Linked DNA regions of Arabidopsis thaliana. The protein of the gene in region 1 purifies or fractionates together with the protein of each later gene. This does not show direct contact. Each region holds a gene or a part of one and is shown in the gene's direction. Other genes may lie near its edges.

Evidence for each region.
Region 2: the proteins of PP2AA3 (region 1) and ECIP1 fractionate together in Arabidopsis thaliana (co-fractionation; one large-scale study listed by BioGRID). This does not show direct contact.
Region 3: the proteins of PP2AA3 (region 1) and AT5G28850 fractionate together in Arabidopsis thaliana (co-fractionation; one large-scale study listed by BioGRID). This does not show direct contact.

Annotation. Positions count from the first base shown.
Region 1 is NC_003070.9:4,562,897-4,569,693, reverse strand, and holds PP2AA3 (protein phosphatase 2A subunit A3), read left to right. Parts: upstream 1-1,844; 5' UTR 1,845-2,005; intron 2,006-2,317; 5' UTR 2,318-2,345; coding exon 2,346-2,738; intron 2,739-2,947; exon of another isoform or gene 2,948-3,110; coding exon 3,111-3,357; intron 3,358-3,589; coding exon 3,590-3,702; intron 3,703-3,814; coding exon 3,815-3,894; intron 3,895-4,082; coding exon 4,083-4,224; intron 4,225-4,318; coding exon 4,319-4,399; intron 4,400-4,726; coding exon 4,727-4,831; intron 4,832-5,004; coding exon 5,005-5,187; intron 5,188-5,278; coding exon 5,279-5,371; intron 5,372-5,461; coding exon 5,462-5,601; coding exon of another isoform or gene 5,602-5,605; intron 5,606-5,689; coding exon 5,690-5,756; intron 5,757-5,882; coding exon 5,883-6,002; 3' UTR 6,003-6,266; downstream 6,267-6,797. Other genes in the region: AT1G13340 (Regulator of Vps4 activity in the MVB pathway protein), read left to right, coding at 1-72; AHP2 (Tat-binding protein 1(Tbp-1)-interacting protein (TBPIP)), read right to left, coding at 284-382, 466-654, 741-811, 898-1,165, 1,526-1,551, 1,659-1,686; AT1G13310 (Endosomal targeting BRO1-like domain-containing protein), read left to right, coding at 6,765-6,797. UniProt on the Arabidopsis thaliana protein: The A subunit of protein phosphatase 2A serves as a scaffolding molecule to coordinate the assembly of the catalytic subunit and a variable regulatory B subunit. Involved during developmental process such as seedling and floral developments.
Region 2 is NC_003075.7:12,779,908-12,785,712, forward strand, and holds ECIP1 (MA3 domain-containing protein), read left to right. Parts: upstream 1-1,854; 5' UTR 1,855-2,006; exon of another isoform or gene 2,007-2,090; 5' UTR 2,091-2,403; exon of another isoform or gene 2,404-2,541; 5' UTR 2,542-2,555; coding exon 2,556-2,760; intron 2,761-2,916; coding exon 2,917-3,011; intron 3,012-3,186; coding exon 3,187-4,995; 3' UTR 4,996-5,290; downstream 5,291-5,805. Other genes in the region: AT4G24790 (AAA-type ATPase family protein), read left to right, coding at 1-45, 136-312, 412-606, 694-1,120, 1,214-1,265, 1,361-1,438; AT4G24805 (S-adenosyl-L-methionine-dependent methyltransferases superfamily protein), read left to right, coding at 5,408-5,805. UniProt on the Arabidopsis thaliana protein: Involved in target of rapamycin (TOR)-regulated translation control, especially under energy-deficient conditions. Involved in the regulation of the ethylene-mediated signaling pathway. Involved in salt stress responses.
Region 3 is NC_003076.8:10,876,273-10,883,024, reverse strand, and holds AT5G28850 (Calcium-binding EF-hand family protein), read left to right. Parts: upstream 1-1,539; 5' UTR 1,540-1,746; coding exon 1,747-1,899; intron 1,900-2,749; coding exon 2,750-2,977; intron 2,978-3,067; coding exon 3,068-3,173; intron 3,174-3,255; coding exon 3,256-3,355; intron 3,356-3,468; coding exon 3,469-3,574; exon of another isoform or gene 3,575-3,608; coding exon of another isoform or gene 3,609-3,665; coding exon 3,666-3,756; intron 3,757-4,301; coding exon 4,302-4,443; intron 4,444-4,534; coding exon 4,535-4,682; intron 4,683-4,815; coding exon 4,816-4,925; intron 4,926-5,009; coding exon 5,010-5,166; intron 5,167-5,309; coding exon 5,310-5,435; intron 5,436-5,521; coding exon 5,522-5,665; 3' UTR 5,666-6,237; downstream 6,238-6,752. UniProt on the Arabidopsis thaliana protein: Regulatory subunit of type 2A protein phosphatase. Involved in post-transcriptional regulation of HMGR but not in root growth regulation in response to salt.

The DNA of each region.
Region 1 (6,797 bases):
GATCCTATTATGCGTAAAGCAGGTTTGAAGGGTCCAGTTTCAGTCAGGACAAGACAGGTTCGTGGATACTAAGTACAAATGTTATAAGTTTTTCAGGTGCATCTACGGTGTAATCACTCAGTTTTGTACTTTTCTATGTTCTTTTTGTGGTCAAAGATGTAAGATTATTGTGTTCTTTATGGATATAAGCTTTCAATGATGTTGTACAGTTGCATATGTGTGTGTTTATACAAGAAACGTTTCTAGAAAACTTTGAATCAAATTCGAAGAACTTACCTGAAAATTACTGTCCTCGAGGCCTCTTTTTACCATGTTGAATTAGGTCAGCATATGCCTGGAAACTTAGACCGACATCTTCATCGTATTCAATTCCAAGCTCCTCCTGCAAAGTAACAGTAGTCAAAAATTATGGCGAAGCTGATGTAGTCTGTAAGAAAAAACTCCTGAAGAAATATGAGTTTGCACCTTTAGTTCCTTCACATCTTTGGGAGAATTCTCTGTTACAGTATCCCAAATGTCTCTGAACATCCTCTTACGCTTGCGCCACTGATTAATCTTATCCGCATACATATCTTCAACAGCCTTTTTGTCTTCTGGCCTCACCAATGTAATCCCTTCACGTAGTTTGACCAGTTTCTCTTCCATTTCCTTAACCTGGTACACAGTTGAAATCACTTTATAAGCTATCAACAACCTTACTCAAAGAAAGACAAAAACCAAAAGGTAAGAAAAACATATACCTCTTTCCTTAGTTTGGCATCTTTCTCTTGTATCTCTTCTAGTGTCAAGTTTGACTGCAAACTCTTGATTTCTGCAAATAACATCACAGAACATAACATTATCCAAGCAGCTATATCACATCCTCAAAACCACTGAGAAAAAGTAGTTTTTTCACACCTGATTCCACATCACTGATAGTTTTCTTCTTCTCTTGAAGCTGTTCTTGAAGTTTGGCATTGTCTTCTTTCATTTGAGCAAGTTCTTCAGAGTTTGGAATCTCAAACTGGTCTTGTCTAGCAATGTATATCTTCTGCTTACCATACTCTTTAAACGTGATTTTTCCAGCATCAGCAAGACTATCAAGTGCCTTTTGCACCGCAGTCTTCTTAAGGTTAAACTTTTGTAGAGCATCAGCTGCATTTTGAGTGTTTAGAGGTTTGTTTTGCTGCATCAAAAAAGTACCAACAACACATTCATCAAAATCTAACAACAATAATACAACAGATTGAAACAAAACTTGCAATATATATATATATATATATATATATATATATATAACCTGTATCAATCAATTTTTAAAACCTAGTCAATATCAATAGCTTCAAACGAAAAATTCATGTGTAAACTTATAGCACAAATTGAAACCCAAGTGATTAAATTCCCAGATTCAGAATCATGTGAACATCACTGCGTACCTTAACCTAGACTCAATTTCAAATTCGAATTCTAATTTTTATGGTCGTATCTGTTTGTGATCTCCGTTTAGAATTAAAGCAAAAATGTAGAATCGCAGAGAAGTGCTTACCTCATTGACAAAGTTGAGTACGATAGCTGCAGAAATAAAAAATTCAGGAAACAAGTAAATAAGAGAGAAATCAAAATGAGGAATAAGATCAAAGAGAACTAGCAGATTTTTTTCAGAGATTATATCATTATACCTTCGGTGTTATCCGATTTAGGAGCCATTTTTGTCGAAATAATTGGCGGGAAATAAAAAACCTGAAGCGAGAGCAACTTTTTTCCTTTTCCGATATTTTCTGAGGAAGAAGAAGAGAGTTACTGAGAAGCTTCCTTTATACGAGAGAGATATTAAACGAAGTCGTATTTGTTGGATATATGGGCCTTTATGTATTATACATAAGCCCATTTAGTTCTTATCTTTGACAGGCCCAATTATATGGACACAGCTTGAAGATGGTTTAGCTGCTGCGAAAGACGAGCTCCGGTCTCATTTCTCGTTCTTCTGATTGATAGATCGCTCGGAACTTGGAAAGCAGCGTAATCGGTAAATTCTCGATCATTTCTTCAATTTCGAAACATTTTCCAATTGTATATTGAGAATCTCAAATCGAATTATTGTTTAGATCTTCTCTCTTTATTAGTCTAAGAATGGTAATAGTTTCTCTCTAGATTGGGACGGCACAAAGTTTCAGTTCTCCATTCTAATCATTTTTTAGAGGCTAATGGGTCACCTTTGAATTATCTCAGAGGCGGAATTGAGTTTAAAGTTTGTAACTTTATCGTCTTTTGTATTGATGGTGTCTATGTATGCATTGTGTTTTATTCTGACTTTGTGTACATTTGTGTTTGATTGAAGGTAGGGAGTGATTTGAGTTTTGGTGAGGATGTCTATGGTTGATGAGCCTTTATACCCGATTGCTGTGCTTATCGACGAGCTAAAAAACGATGATATTCAGCGTAGATTGAACTCTATTAAACGGCTTTCTATCATTGCTCGTGCTCTTGGAGAGGAGAGGACAAGAAAAGAGTTGATTCCATTTCTTAGTGAGAACAATGACGATGACGATGAGGTGCTTTTGGCTATGGCGGAAGAGTTGGGGGGTTTTATTCTGTATGTAGGAGGGGTTGAGTATGCATATGTTCTGCTTCCACCTTTGGAGACTCTATCCACTGTTGAGGAAACTTGCGTGAGGGAGAAAGCTGTGGATTCACTTTGTAGAATTGGTGCTCAGATGAGGGAGAGTGACTTGGTTGAGCATTTCACTCCTCTGGCTAAGGTTAGATAAGGCTGGTTTACTTATTTTATCAAATCTCTTTGGTCGATTTTATTGATTCCTTTCCATGCTCTGTCAAACTTAATATTATTAAGCCACTAAAACAGAAGAACATAGATTTTTTGGGGTCCTTTGTCAATTGTCCCCCAAAGTTTGGAAATATGCTTTTCTTGTTCAGTGTTCCCCTTATAGGTGTTTTGGGAAATTGGTAGGTTGAAGTTGTTTACATCCATTTTGGTTGATCTAAGAGAACATCGCTCTGGCTTTAGCGCTCTTTTGGGTTGTGGTTGTGTATGTGACCATACATACCTCGGTATAGGTGCTCGTAATGTGAAACCGACTTAAGCATTACTGAACACTGTCATTGTGTAACAGCGACTTTCAGCTGGTGAATGGTTCACAGCCAGAGTATCAGCATGTGGGATTTTCCATATTGCATACCCAAGTGCCCCAGATGTGCTAAAGACGGAGCTAAGATCAATATATGGTCAGCTTTGTCAAGATGACATGCCAATGGTGCGCAGAGCTGCAGCAACTAATTTGGGGAAGTTTGCTGCTACAATTGAATCAGCTCATTTGAAGACAGACATTATGTCCATGTTTGAGGATCTTACGCAAGATGGTATGCTCTCCCTTATTATATGTTTCGTTTTTCCAGCATATACTCTTACAATTTTCATCAAGCCTAGTTATGGGGGTGGCTGATGTGTAATAGGCAAGTATTAGGGTTACTGCATTGAACACTGACCATTAGCTGAAGTTAAGCAGAATTACGGTTGTCTACATCTCAGCTTCAGTGTCTTTTTATATTATAATATTACAGATTTTAAGTATCTTATTGACATTGATATCAGATCAAGATTCGGTTAGATTATTGGCTGTTGAGGGTTGTGCTGCTCTTGGGAAATTGTTGGAGCCCCAGGACTGTGTTGCACACATTCTTCCTGTGATTGTCAATTTCTCGCAGGTAAATAAATGTGTGAATATGATAAAAAAATTCTATTGATGAGCTTTATGGGAAAGCTGTAAGGCAGATATGTATGAGCTGCTTTATCTTGATTTTTTTCGTCTTTGAGCAGGATAAGTCCTGGCGTGTGCGTTATATGGTTGCAAATCAGCTCTATGAACTTTGTGAAGCTGTAGGACCGGAGCCAACTAGGTAAGCAGTGATGGTTGAAGTTAGTTATGGTTTAATGTAGTATTGACCTTTAGTATGCAATTCTATATCAAACAATAGATTACTGACTTCAGAGGTATTTGGTACTTGGAAGTCCATGTTTGTTGAGTCATCTTAATAAATTTCTTTGAGTCGTTTTTTATACTTTCTCATGTGCCTTATGTATTAAGGACGGATCTGGTGCCTGCATATGCTCGTCTACTTTGTGATAATGAGGCAGAAGTTCGGATAGCAGCTGCTGGAAAAGTTACCAAGTTTTGTCGCATTTTAAACCCTGAACTCGCTATCCAGCACATTCTTCCCTGTGTAAAGGTACACACTTAAGAAGAGTGTGTTGATTTCATATTATGCAAAGGACCAAAATACTGTCGGTGTTTGCTAAGCTTACCTATAAATCTACACGTAGGAATTATCATCAGACTCTTCTCAGCACGTCAGATCTGCATTGGCATCAGTTATAATGGGAATGGCTCCAGTCTTGGGTAAGGTAAGCAGAATTAAAAACCGATACAATTTGCCTCTCATATCATGAATACTGTCATCTATACAAAAATTCATTTGGCTCTATAGTTTGGAGTGTAAGCTCATAATATTCTATGTATTTAGCATCTTAGAGATAAAGATTTTTTCTTTTATTTGAAACCATCTATATATCTTCTTCGTCCTAGTCACTGTCATCTTTAGGAATTTTTTTAACTGTGCCTGGAAGGTTCTCGCAACAATAATCTATATAAGAAAACCTCACTATGTTTTTCTACACAAGATATTTAGTTGGATTTTGCAGCTTTTAACTTGGCATTGATATTCATTTCAGGATGCAACAATTGAGCATCTTCTTCCAATCTTTCTTTCTCTATTGAAAGACGAATTTCCTGATGTACGCTTAAACATTATCAGCAAACTTGACCAAGTGAACCAGGTTTGCTATTGACCAAGTTACTCATCTCTTTGTACGACATTGGGTTTCTATTTTTTCCCACATGTTCAAAGGAGCTGTATCATGTTTTGGTCAAGTCAATGACTACTTGACAGCAAATTCTTTGTCCATCCATTTTTCATAATGATTCGATTTTTTTTCCTTAAAATTGCCAGGTTATTGGGATTGATCTACTATCACAATCGTTACTGCCAGCCATTGTAGAACTTGCTGAAGACAGGCACTGGAGAGTACGTCTGGCTATAATCGAGTATATTCCCTTGTTGGCCAGTCAATTAGGTGTAGGCTTCTTTGATGAGAAGCTTGGTGCTCTTTGCATGCAATGGTTACAAGACAAGGTCCCTCATTCTCTACCTTCATTGAATCATCCAGATAAATAAATTTGTCGTCTCTACTGCTTGAAATTTTGAAATAATTATAAATTGTCAGGTTCACTCAATCCGTGAAGCTGCTGCAAACAATCTGAAGCGTCTTGCTGAAGAGTTTGGTCCTGAATGGGCAATGCAGCATATAGTTCCTCAGGTTTGTGTAGAAATCTTAAGCATATAGTATGTTTTCAATTCAAATCGAGCATTTTAGCTATTGGTTATTGGAGTATATTTACTTGTTCAGGTTCTAGAGATGATTAACAACCCACACTATCTATATCGGATGACGATTCTTCGTGCAGTATCGCTTCTCGCTCCAGTAATGGGATCCGAGATCACATGTTCCAAACTCTTACCTGCGGTAATAACTGCATCTAAAGACAGGCAAGTCTCTCTCTTAACATGAAATCTCATTGACTCAATTTTTTTCCCAATAGCTAACTAAAAGAACCACTCTCTCCTCCTCTTTCAGAGTTCCAAACATCAAATTTAACGTGGCCAAAATGATGCAATCTCTCATTCCGATAGTCGACCAAGCGGTTAGTATACATTCTTTGTTGGCTCTCACAAGTAAAGAAACAGCTTATGATTCCACATTATCCTCCTCATCAGGGAATCTAAACGTCCATATATTCAAATGTTTTCATTTTTGTTGGTTGTGAAAGGTTGTGGAGAACATGATACGGCCATGCTTGGTGGAGCTAAGTGAAGACCCAGATGTTGATGTTCGGTATTTCGCAAATCAAGCTCTCCAATCTATTGACAATGTGATGATGTCTAGCTAAAAAAAGGTAAAGAAGACAGCAACGAATTGTGTTTGGTTCTCATGAGATTTTGTAAACGATACTTTGTCGTGTGTTGTCTTTTACTTTACACGTACGTGACCATTGTTTCTCTCTGCTACTAATGTTAATGTTGGCTTCATGTTTTCTGTGATTTGTTCGTTGGGCGTATTTGCTTTTTGGTGCTTAATTTTGTTTAGTCCAAATAATTTACTTATCAAGTGATTCGGCAACGTTTTTGCTCGAAGCATGAGTGTACAATTGGTCACCACTGGAATATTTTAATTGGTCAACCAACTTATTGAGTCGTTTTCAAGCCCATGGGCTTTTATACTCCACATATCAGATTCAGGTCGTTGTTGTCTTTTTAACTAGAAGACTATTTTATCAAAAGTCAAAACCTTGTCGTAGAAGGCACTTACGGAGAATTATTGACCTAGGAACTTCCCTCGAAAAGTTCAATATATATGTGTTATTGACGTTTTCTGTTTGATTATTTACAAATTTTGTTGATTATTTTTCACCACTCTTGCACACACCTCTCTCGCTATTTCAAAACTCTACGAAATTTCCTTAATATTTCTATTTGATCTTCCAACAGTTTTCGACTCGCAATAGGATTAGGAAATTACAAATAATATCTGAATTATTTAAACGACAACACAAATATTATAGAGTCTTCTCTTGTTTCTCGGCTTCAGTTTATTTATGTTGTTTATGATTCTGGCTTAATAGTTACGTAACCAAGAGTTTGGAAGAAGAACGATGACGATGATGCAGTACCTAATTCCAGAACCA
Region 2 (5,805 bases), on another chromosome or scaffold:
AAAGTAGTTCAGCAACCAGACTTCGGTTTCTTACAAGGCATACATGTAAGCACCCCAGTGATGATTACTTTGAATATCAGCTTCAAATTAAAACCTGATCTCACTCTTTATCATATACTGTTCTACTATATATAGCTGAAGAAGAAATGCAGAAATTGAGAAATGCATTGAAGATACTATCTGATGCTGAGAAACACTTGAGAGCATCGAAAAACCAGACAACTTGGCTCACTGTGGCACTTTTGCAACTTAGTAACACCGACTCATCATCTTTTGCAACAGATGAAAATGGAAGAAACCAAATAAACAAAGGTCCTAATTCATAAATTCTCGTTTCCTTTATTTCATGCTTCTTTTTCGTGTTGTCTTGGTTACTAACTATATATAACTTACCCTTGGTCATGTATCTAGACGTTGAGCTCTCCAGCACATCATCAGGTTGTCCTGGTGATGTTATTAAATCAGATGCCGAGAAGGGTCAAGAGAGAAACTGTAATGAAACAGTTGAATCTGTGTGGAAAACGGTTACAGATTTGTGTTGTTCTGATTCACTAAAGAGATTTCTGTGGAAACGAGGAAGGTTGACTTCACTTACTGTTGACAAAGGTAACTTATATTTCCCAAAGATGGTCTGAAAGTTTTACTTTGGCTTGTGTCTCAGATAAGTAAATGCATATTCTTTTTTCTTTTCAGGTGTGGCAATAGCTGAGTTAGAATTCTACACACCTCAACATGTAGCAAGAGCCGAGAAATCATGGAAATTGATTGCAGACTCGTTCCAATCTGTGTTAGGATGCAACGTTGAGATCCAAATGAATCTTGTTATCTCTGCGTGTTCTCCACCAAAGAGTGCTAAAGCAGCAGCAAGTCTTTTCTTTGGACTTTTCAGTTGTTCTCGTAGAATGCTTCACAAGTCGTATTTGACTACAAGAACCGACTCTGACTGCGCATCTGAAAAGCCTGCAGTTACAAATTCTCTGAGAAGTTGCCAAGGAAATGTCTTGAGGGCTCGAAGTGTTCGTTCTTCAGCCAATGCATCATCGCGTATGAGCTGTTCCAGTGATCAAGGCGATGCAACTTCTGCTATGTGTACTCCACACATTCCTCCGGGTGAAAAAAGGTAAAACATGGTTCATATTTATTCATTTCAAAAGTAAGTTGTTTTGTGATTTGGCTAGCTACTCAAGTATACTCTGCCTCTGACTTTGTGCAGGCCAGAAGATGACACTGATGTGTTGTGTTGGAAGAAGACTCCCCTAGGCAAGGTAAACATCTCGACTATGCCTAAGAATTCGGTTTCAGATCTCTGTCTGTACCTTTTTGGTGTTTCTAATTTGTGATGATGATACATGTCTTATAGGGTCAGAGCGAGACACAGAACAGCAAGAGCTCACGGCTTATCGGCCGAGTCCTTCCCTGCAGCACTGCAGCTAATTAAGGGAGCTCGATGAGGGTAATACCCATTTTGTGGAAGTGGAACCAATAGGTTTTAGCAAACCCATTGTTTAGGACAATGTGACACAAAAATGTATAGTTGCAAAATGTGTTTCAAGACCATATTTTAGATTAGCATATACTAATCACTCCTTTAACAGACCTGAATTTTACTGTCTTTGGACCCTTTTATTGACTGAGCTCATTATGTTTTCACAAATTATCTCATTCATTAAAACGAATCAGAATAAAGTGAATACATTAGTCTTCAACTTTTTTGTTACAAAAAGTGGATAATGTTTAATTTTTTCAATAAACTGATTTGAAATTAGAAACATAATTTGGATAAGGTTTTAGTAATTTGGGATAAGATATTGACAGAGAGATATTTATAAATTATCTGGTTTCACTATTTTGGTAGGAAAACTCCAAAATTAAATCCATAACCCTAATCGATATCTCTCTTGGACAGGCCAGCACATGTAACGAGCAATCGTGACCGTTGAGACAGTAACACGTGGCAACAGTCCTTATGATGAGACCTTTGATGAGAATCAGCAGCCTCCATTTCTGTAAGCTTTTTGTTCCTCCCAAAATTCCCAAATCCATCTTCTTCTCCAAACAATCTTCTCTCAAACATTACTACTATTTTCCAGGATAGCTTACGCAGCTTCAGACTCGGGTTCTTCTTTTCGATCTAGCCTCCGTCCTCTTTCTTCTTACCACGGATCTCGCCTGCTCTTTTTCCGTACGACGGTCTGCTTTGTGGATAGTTTGGCTGACGACGAGGCGATTTGAACATTAACAGTTACTGGTACTTGGAGTTTCAAACATTTCTCCGATGTTTTGGTTTTGGCATTTAGTCACGGGAATGATTAATTGATTGATTGCTGTAGAAATATGTGAAGAATGACACGTAGAAGAATTTGATGAAACCTTGGGATGCATAGGCTTCTGTATTATGGATTGGTGATTTTAGATCTCCATTTATGTCGTTTCACATCAGTGTCTTGTGGTTTTAGCTATATGCTGTTTTGGTTTTAGGTTGATATTTATTGTATGGTATGTGTTTGTTAAAGGAATGATTTGATGATGTTTCACTGTTAGGGTAATTGCCAAGGATGGAGGGTTTCCTAACGGATCAGCAGAGAGAGATGATGAAAGTTGCAACTCAGACTGCAGATGATCTTCCACCCTCACAAAAACCTCACTCGGTTTTACTTGAGCATCTGCCTAAACCATCTGGTGGTGGGAAAGCTTCTGGTGCGTCAAATGCTGTGAAGCACAGAAGGTCTCATGCGGGAAGGTCTATTCGCTCTAAGAAGGGTCAGTTACTACCTTTATCAGTTTAGATTTGGGTTTCTAAACCATCAAGTGTCAAGGGATGGCTCTTAGTCAAATTTGGAGCTGAAAATTGTGTAGATTGCATATTTATACTTCCTTTGTTCTTCGGGTAGCGGTGATTGATAAATTTTGTTTCAGATGGAGGTGGTGGGAAAGGAAATTGGGGAAAACTTATTGACACTGATGGAGACTATCACATTGACCCGAATGATCCTAATTATGACAGTGGAGAGGTAGTTTCTGCACCTTTCGTACTAGATGGTTGATTATTTTCTTGCCAAAGTACTTGCACAAAACTGTTTCTGTTGTCCATCTGCTGTTCAGATGATGTAGAAAATTTATCCATTGTGTGTTACTTTTTAGAGATCATCAGTCTCAGCTCTCTTTGTGTTTTTTTTTGTTTTATAGGAACCATTCGAGCTTGTTGGTGCAACTCTGTCAGACCCATTAGATGATTACAAGAAAGCTGCAGCTTCCATCATTAACGAATACTTCAGCACCGGTGATGTTGATGTGGCAGCAGCTGACCTCATTGAACTTGGTTCAAGTGAATATCATCCCTACTTCATCAAGCGGCTTGTCTCGGTAGCGATGGACAGGCATGACAAAGAGAAGGAAATGGCCTCGGTTTTGCTTTCCGCATTGTATGCTGATGTCATTAACCCGAACCAGATAAGAGATGGATTTGTCCTGCTGCTCGAGTCAGCCGATGACTTTGTGGTGGATATACCTGATGCTGTCAATGTTCTTGCTTTGTTCCTTGCACGTGCTGTCGTGGATGACATACTTCCTCCAGCTTTTCTTCCTAGGGCTGCCAAGGCACTTCCAATAACTTCTAAAGGTTACCAGGTTGTCCAAACTGCAGAGAAAAGCTATCTATCAGCTGCACACCATGCTGAGCTAGTAGAAAGAAGGTGGGGTGGACAGACTCGAACCACTGTTGAGGAAGTCAAGAAGAAGATTGCTGACATTTTGAATGAATATGTGGAGACTGGAGAGACTTATGAGGCATGTCGTTGCGTAAGAGAGTTGGGTGTTTCTTTCTTTCACCATGAGGTTGTGAAGAGGGCCTTAGTTACTGCCTTGGAAAACCACGCAGCAGAAGCACCTGTATTGAAACTGCTAAATGAAGCAGCTTCAGAAAACCTGATAAGCTCTAGTCAAATGGTGAAGGGATTTTCAAGATTAAGAGAAAGCCTTGATGATCTTGCTCTTGACATTCCTTCAGCTAGAACCAAATTTGGTTTGATTGTGCCAAAAGCTGTCTCAGGTGGTTGGCTTGATGCTTCGTTTGGTTATCCCTCTGGTGAATGTGGACGACAACAGAACGAGGATGAGAAACTAAAGCGGTTCAAGGAAGACATTGTGACCATCATTCATGAGTATTTCAACTCTGATGACATACCAGAACTCATACGCAGTCTTGAGGATTTAGGAGCACCCGAGTACAACCCAATTTTTCTAAAGAAGCTGATAACACTTGCTTTGGACAGGAAGAATCACGAGAAAGAAATGGCATCTGTTCTTCTCTCATCTCTTCACATCGAGATGTTCACCACAGAAGATGTTGCAGATGGTTTCGTCATGCTCCTGGAGTCTGCAGAAGATACAGCTCTTGACATTCTGGATGCGTCCAACGAACTTGCTCTGTTCTTAGCTAGAGCTGTGATCGATGATGTTTTAGCACCTTTTAACCTGGAAGAGATCAGTAGCAAACTACGCCCTAACTCAAGCGGAACTGAAACCGTGAAGATGGCTAGGTCACTCATCTTTGCTCGACATGCAGGAGAGAGGCTTCTAAGATGCTGGGGAGGTGGGAGCGGTTGGGCAGTGGAAGATGCAAAGGACAAGATATCAAATCTCCTGGAGGAATACGAAAGCTCAGGGCTGGTATCAGAAGCATGCAAATGCATCCATGAGCTAGGCATGCCTTTCTTCAACCATGAGGTGGTGAAGAAAGCACTGGTGATGGGTATGGAGAAGAAGAAGGACAAGATGATGCTGGATCTTCTGCAGGAGAGTTTCAGTGAAGGACTCATAACCACAAACCAGATGACCAAAGGGTTCACAAGAGTCAAAGACGGACTTGAAGATCTTGCTTTAGACATCCCAAACGCAAAGGAGAAATTCAACGACTACGTGGAGTATGGGAAGAAGAATGGTTGGGTTTCGTCGTCGTTTTTAACTTCCCTAACTGAAGATGCTAATGTAGGCTAGAGATCAAGAGGAGATATCCCAAATGGTGTGTGAACTAAAAAAAACTGATAGAATGTACAAGTCTCTTTCTCTCTTGAGCATCCCTGTGGTTGTTTTGTTTTGCACTTTTAGGCTTTGAGAATTCTGCCCAGGGAGCTTATCTTTTCACGAATGTTTAACTTTTTTCTTCAGAGGACCTTTTTATTGCTCTGAATTTAGTCCAACGGAACTTTGGGGCTATATTGGATCAAGTTTCAATTCAGAGTCAATAATAATGCCTTGATGACAATTAGACAAAACAAACTATATTATTTGCATTTGGTGTTTTTCTAATTATGATCCAAACTTTAATCATTTCTTTAATTAAATAAATTCCCATATATGCTTCGATGTACACACAGAGACAACAAGGAAGGGAAGTCTCGAAGCTAACATGAAATTCGTAATACCAAAACTACCCTTCACACTCTCTCTCTTCCTCTCCCTCTCTTTTCTCATCATCTTCCTCTTCGCCTTCCCCACCACATTCCTCCGCCGTCCTCTCTCCTCCTCTTCCTCCGTCACCTCCGTTGCCGACGAAGGAATACGGATCCGTCACCATGGATACTCCTCCTACGAAGCATACATCAAACACCAGCTCAACAAAACTCAGAACCCGAAGCTACGTAAGGTATGGACAACGCGCGACTGGGACAGGAAAGTTCGTGTGTTCTCCACTTTCTTCCGACGTCTCAGCGATCGCGGTCTTCTCTCAAATCAATCAAAAGCTCTCTCGATCGGTGCTCGGGTTGGACAAGAGGTTGCGGCGTTGAGATTGATCGGCGTGGAAGA
Region 3 (6,752 bases), on another chromosome or scaffold:
CAGCTTACTCCCCATAGAGCATCTGTTCGGTAGATCGCGAAATACAGGGTTTGGCTTATAGTTGATAAAACATCCAAAACGACTTGTTTCCGAATAAAGAGTTGATAAAACATAATAAACCTAAAAAAAATGTTAAAAATATCACTTAACAATTTCTCTCATTAATATCATTACTAGATGCCTAAGATTAATTTCATCGTTGGTACATCGGGATAATGTGGTATTACAGTGTATGACTTGCAAGTTTGTATATGAACTTTCTAAAATAAGATTTTCTTGTTGTGTTAAACATCTTCTATTACCTTTCGATTCTCTAGGGCTGGCAAGCATGACATGGCAGTCTCCCATATAGAGAATGATCATTTTTGTTGTCTTCCATAGCTAAATGACTACTATAGTTTTTCTTTTCCCTAGTTAATGTTGTTAATAAGGGGATAATTTTGCTAAATTTGGTAAAAGTACATGAATTATATATGATATGTGATTTAGTCAAGAAAAATTATGTGAACCTGATTAGATTTTACCATGTCTCAGGTTTTCAAGAATGCAATTTTTATTTCCATGGGCTAGTTGAAATAGTTACCTATAAAATATCTTATGACATAAATCGATCTAGATATGATCTACATACAATTAGAAAGCTTAAACGTGGAAACTTAATTGATGATATGCTTTATGGTGATCAAGAAGAAGATATCAACAAAGTGTTGAGATACTAACAAAAATAGTTTTTTTTTCTTGTTGTTATAAATATTGAGTCAGACTTTAAGTTACACGTATTTGCAAACTATAGTTTTGTGTCAGTTTTTTTGATATCAACACATTTCTATTTATTTGGCAACAAAATACTTTTCATAAGAGCATTTCTATGTCATATATTATAATTTATGTGATAAAGATAAAGATCACGATTTCCCGATTGACAAAGAAAACCTTATGAAATATGGAAAACATGATATGAAACACATCATATGTTTCTCATTCGTCAAGTATTTTTTATATGATATATAAAACTTTTTTTCTTTCTAGAATTCATGGCTCTTGTATAAGGTAGATTGTCTAACTCGTTACTCTAGATAGTATATTATATGAAATTTGTTTCGTAAATATTTTTCCTTAAGATTGGACTACCAATTATGAAGTAATATTTTAACTAATGTGTGGTTGACAAAATATAGAAAAAATCAAGAATTCAACCACATGTTGAGAAAAAAAACTTCTACTTCAAATACACTTACTTATTTTTATTATTTAGTCAACGAAATATTAATTTATTTATGGACATATTTTTTAAAATACCATAAAATTAATTTTTATTATAAAACATTATTAGTAGTTTATATTTTTTTGAAAGTACCACTAAAATATATTATTTTCTGAAAATACCACAAAATTACTTTTAAAGTTTTCAAAACTAGATCCTAAACTCTAAAAAATAAACCCTAAACCCCAAAAAACTTAACTCAAACCCAAACATTTAATAAATTATAAACCCTTAAAATCAACTTTTTCTGTTTCAAGTATTTTTTGGGTATCTCTCTAATTTATTTATTTATTTCAGATTGCTCAAAAGAATAAATAAATAAAAGAATTTGGCTGTCTCATTTCCTTGTTCGGAATCGGAGAAGAAGGAAGACTAGATTCGATGTGTTGGTGAAGAAGATCTCGACTTTGTTCAAAATTCCAATTTCGTTCGCCTCAAAGATCATTCTCTCATCTTCTCGACTTTGATGCGATTGATTAAATATGGTGGATACGGTTATTCCCGGAGATATGGCTTGTTTGGATGCAGATTTGTTGCAGCTTCAGGAAATGTCTTCCTTTGTTCTCAATTCTAAACCTGGATTCACTCAGAAGCTCTTCGACCAGTGGCTTTCTCTTCCCGAAGCTCAGCGACAGGTTTCTGCCTTTTGAATTGCCTTCACAATTCTTACACTCATGCTTCTTAGCTTACTCTCTGTTACTTGTAGATTCCTGTAAAGTTCGAATCTTTCTCTGATAGTGTTACAATGATGCCTTAGGTTGCTTAATTACTCTGTTGTGTTGAGGATTGGTGTAAAGTTTGAATCTTTCTTTGATAGTGTTAGTGAGTATTACAATGATGCCTTAGGTTGTTACTGAGATTTGGTTGCTTAATTACTCTCTGGTGTAAAGTTTGAATCTTTTTTTTTGTTTCTTTGATAGTGTTAGTGAGTATTACAATGATGCCTTAGGTGGTTACTGAGAATGGTGTAAAGTTCGAATCTTTCTTTGATAGTGTTAGTTAGATTGGTGTAAAGTTCGTATCTTTCTTTGATACTGTTGGTGAGTGTTACATTGATGCTTACGTTACTGTGATGAAGTTTGAATCTTTTTTGGATAGTGTGAGTTAAGACGCTTAGGTTACTGAGATTTGTTTCTGTTGAGGATTGGTGTAAAGTTCAGATCTTTGATAGTGTTAGTTATTACAATGATGCTTAGCTTACTCTGTGTGAGTTGTAGATTCGTGTAAAGTTCGAATCTTTCTTTCATAATCTTAATTACTCTCTGGCTTCTGTTGAGCATTGGTGTAAAGTTTGAATCTTTCTTTGATAGTGTTAGTGGGTGTTACAATGATGCTTAGGTTACTGAGATTTACTCTGTGGTGTTGAATCTTTCTTGGGTTGTGTGAGTTATGACAATGATGCCTTAGGAGGTTACTGAGGTTAATTACTCTATTCACTGGAATCTCTAGTCTAATCTTTTTCTCGTTTCCTAATCGGTTTTCTAGGTTGGATCATTGCTTAAGGATGCTGTAGCTGGAGCTCCTATCAATGTTACTGGAAGTGCATCGGGTTCTAATTCTGCCACTATACCATCTATGTTTCCTGCGGGAAGCGCTCCTCCTCTTTCACCAAGAAGTTGTGGTTCACCCCGTACAACCAAACAGAGAGCCCCTTCTAACTTAGGTTCTACTCTCAAAGTAGTCAACGAGCCTGTTAAAGAGCCTATACCTCAGGTTTCTTTTCCTCTTTTACTTCCTTCTTTATATATATAGAGTAATGGAATGGAGTTAACTCACTGATTTCTTAACTTGAAATGATTCTAGTTTTATTTCCAAAATGGTCGCCCTCCACCAAGCGAGATTAAAGAGCAATGTATGTTTAGAATCAATCACTTCTTTTATGGTCACATGGATGGCTTGCAGATACAAGGTTAGAAGTCAGTCATTTGTTTTCTACTATTTATATTTTAACTGTTTATTAACTTTTTTCTCCATTTTCAATCAATACTCAGAATTCAAGTTAGTCACCAGAGAAATCTGCAAGCTCCCATCTTTCTTCTCCACTTCCCTTTTCCGGAAGATCGATCTCAACAATACAGGTTTTGTTACTAGGTGTGTGCTGCTGCTTCTATGCTTTTTTTTTTGTATGGTGCTTCCTCTTCATGTCTGCATAGTTTACTGAAACACCACCCAGTATAACAGTTTTGTCGTGTTTGTTTCTACAGAGATGCATTTATTGATTTTTGGGTAAACGGGAACATGTTGATAATGGATACAACGACCCAAATCTTCAAGATCCTAAAGCAGAAAGATCAGAGTTTCATTGTTAAGGTAATTTTCTTTTGATTTGCATATTCAGTCAGTCATGAAAGCGAGTTTATACTCCAGATTCTATTCTTTTCTTTTCTTTTTTTCATGGCAGGATGATTTCAAACCACTACTTAAAGAACTGTTGGCGACGCATCCTGGCCTAGAGTTCCTGCAATCCACACCTGAATTCCAAGAAAGATATGGTTAGGTCTCAACTTCATTTACATTTCCTAATTTATCTAATGTATTCTTTTTCTGCTTGGTATTGCTTGAGTAATGGTGTTTAGTAATTGAGTTTGGTTGTACATTTTATTCTTCGAAGTATATGGTTAGCTACAGCCCTAGTTGAGAAGAATGAGTGAATAAGTTTGCCATTTTCGGTATGATGTACTTATCTAAATCTGTCGAATGGTTACCACATCAATAGTATTTCTAGTGAAATAAGATAATTTTGATAATTGATGCATCAAGATACACTAATAAATGTGGTATTACTCTGTATGGATTTGAAACATTTTATAAGATACGGTTTCTTTGTTGTGTTGTGTTGTGTTAGACATCATCTTATAACTTGCAAATCCATAAAGCTTTCAAGCACGGCATGAATCATCTTCTGTCTATGAATCCTGCAGATGAATCAATATTAGAGAAAAAAAAAAAATCTGGAGCTTGTTTATGAATCATGTATTTTGATGAAACAGCTGATGCTATGCTACATGCTGATACAATTTGCATTTTGATGAAACAGCTGAAACTGTCACCTACAGAATATTTTACTACATAAATAGATCTGGCAATGGTCGAATTACATTTAGGGAGCTTAAACGGGGAAACTTAATTGATGCTATGCTACATGCTGATGAAGAAGAAGATATTAACAAAGTGTTGAGGTACTGACAAAAACAAATTTGTGCTATTGTTGTATATATGGTATTGTTTCTGCTCATTTAACATGACTTTTCTACTTACTTTGGCAAATAGATACTTCTCATATGAGCATTTCTATGTCATATACTGCAAGTTCTGGGAGCTGGATACGGATCACGATTTCCTGATTGACAAAGAAAATCTTATGAGATATGGAAACCATGCTCTTACCTACCGGATTGTCGACAGAATATTCTCCCAGGTTCTGTCTAAAAAATCTTTCTACTTGAGGATTTTGTTTATATTGCTTCCATTTAAGAGTTCTGTCCTCGTTCAAAGTTATTATTACTCTTAAGAGGACTGTCATCATGGATAATGCATTGGTTTCTACTTAGGTTGCTAGGAAGTTCACTAGCAAAGTTGAAGGGAAGATGGGGTATGAAGACTTTGTCTATTTCATTCTTGCGGAAGAAGATAAATCGTCAGTGCCTAGCCTAGAATATTGGTAAGTTGTGATATAAGGGTCCGAAAGTTGCAGACAGATACGATTTTAAGTCTTTTTATCTGACACAAGTATACGTTGGACTAGGTTTAAGTGCATAGACTTGGATGCAAATGGGATTATAACGCGAAATGAGATGCAATTCTTTTATGAAGAGCAGTTGCATAGAATGGAGTGCATGGCGCAAGAGGCTGTTCTTTTCGAGGATATCTTATGTCAGATGATTGATATGATCGGACCTGAGGTTCAACAATATGTCTCTTGTTTTTTTCTTTCTATATTAAGGAAGATATATGACAGTCACAGAAGTAGTTTGGGTTCCCAGTTTTTCTTTCTGACTCTTGCGATTTTGTCTTGTGTTTGATTGTTTTTTATTTCCTTCCACAGAACGAAAGCCATATAACGCTGCATGACCTGAAAGGCTCAAAGCTCTCTGGAAACGTCTTCAACATCCTTTTTAATCTAAACAAATTTATGGCATTTGAAACCCGGGATCCGTTCCTCATTCGTCAGGTACTACTCCACGTTTGATATTCAACCTTGCTGTTTTCTTGACACAATGGGCCTCTTATAACATTTCAAATGTCAAACGAAAACAGGAGCGCGAGAACCCGACATTGACAGACTGGGACCGTTTTGCACATAGAGAGTATATTCGGCTATCAATGGAAGAAGATGTTGAAGATGCATCCAATGGAAGTGCTGAGGTTTGGGATGACTCGTCACTGGAGGCTCCCTTCTGAGTTCAAAGAGGTAGCAAGTCAACAAAAGAAAATCATAATCTCTAGAATGGATTTTATTTTTTAAAAAAGGAAACAAAAAAACTTAGAAGTTGAAGGTTATGGATATGTTGTTATTTCATCATATTAGTTAATCATGCAAAAGAGAAACAGAAAGTCCCTGAGAAGAATCTTTGGAGCTTTGTTGAGAAGGCAAGTGAAAAAACAAGGGAGAAGCCAGTAGTATCATACTTAGCTTGGAGTTGTTTTCTAACTTCTCTTCATTTTTAGCTGATTTTACAACTATATTGATTAATAATCGTCGTCGTTTAGCTCATCGCTTTACGGCTTCTTCATCTGTATTGCATTCACTTTGCTCCATCTCTGGGTTTTTTGTTTGTACTTTAGAGCTTTGTTACTCTCATGATCTTCAGTTGTTCAAAAATTGTGAAAATCAATGCCATAGTTACTTTATATGTTGGTTAGTTCTTGTTTTATAGGAATCCTAGGACATGAATCTTTTAGAGGTATTGTTTTTATGGATAAGAGAAAGCGCTAAGGATTTGTACTGCTTTAGCTTAATGTTTTATCAAATCGGCACAAAAAAAAACTGGTAACAATGGTAAGCACTAAGCAGTTACTAATCCGACCAATTCAAGTTTACTATTCTGATCACTAACCATGTATCGCAACAGTACAGGATGTACTAAAACCGGTATAATAAAATGAGCGTTTAATACCTAATACTTTTTGTTGAAATAAAAATATCTCATCTAATTATTTGTAGCTTCAAAATACTTCGTATATAAACTATTGGTGATATCAAATCCGGAAGCTAACAGCCGTTAACAAGGGATGAAGAAGAAAGAAGAAAAAAATCAAAAGAATTGCTAAGAGGAGTACTCGAACTCACGTCCTTTACCCCTATAAATTTAAGCAAACTTTAAAGGGGGTGTATTGAAAGTAAAATTTTAAGAAATTTGTGTATAATTTATAAATCATATGTTATTCAAACATGGATTTTAACAACTTTCGTGGCTAAGGAAGTAATGCCCAATTAAAATAGGTCCATCGATTCAACAACATTTTTTGTGCCACGAGAAATCGATTG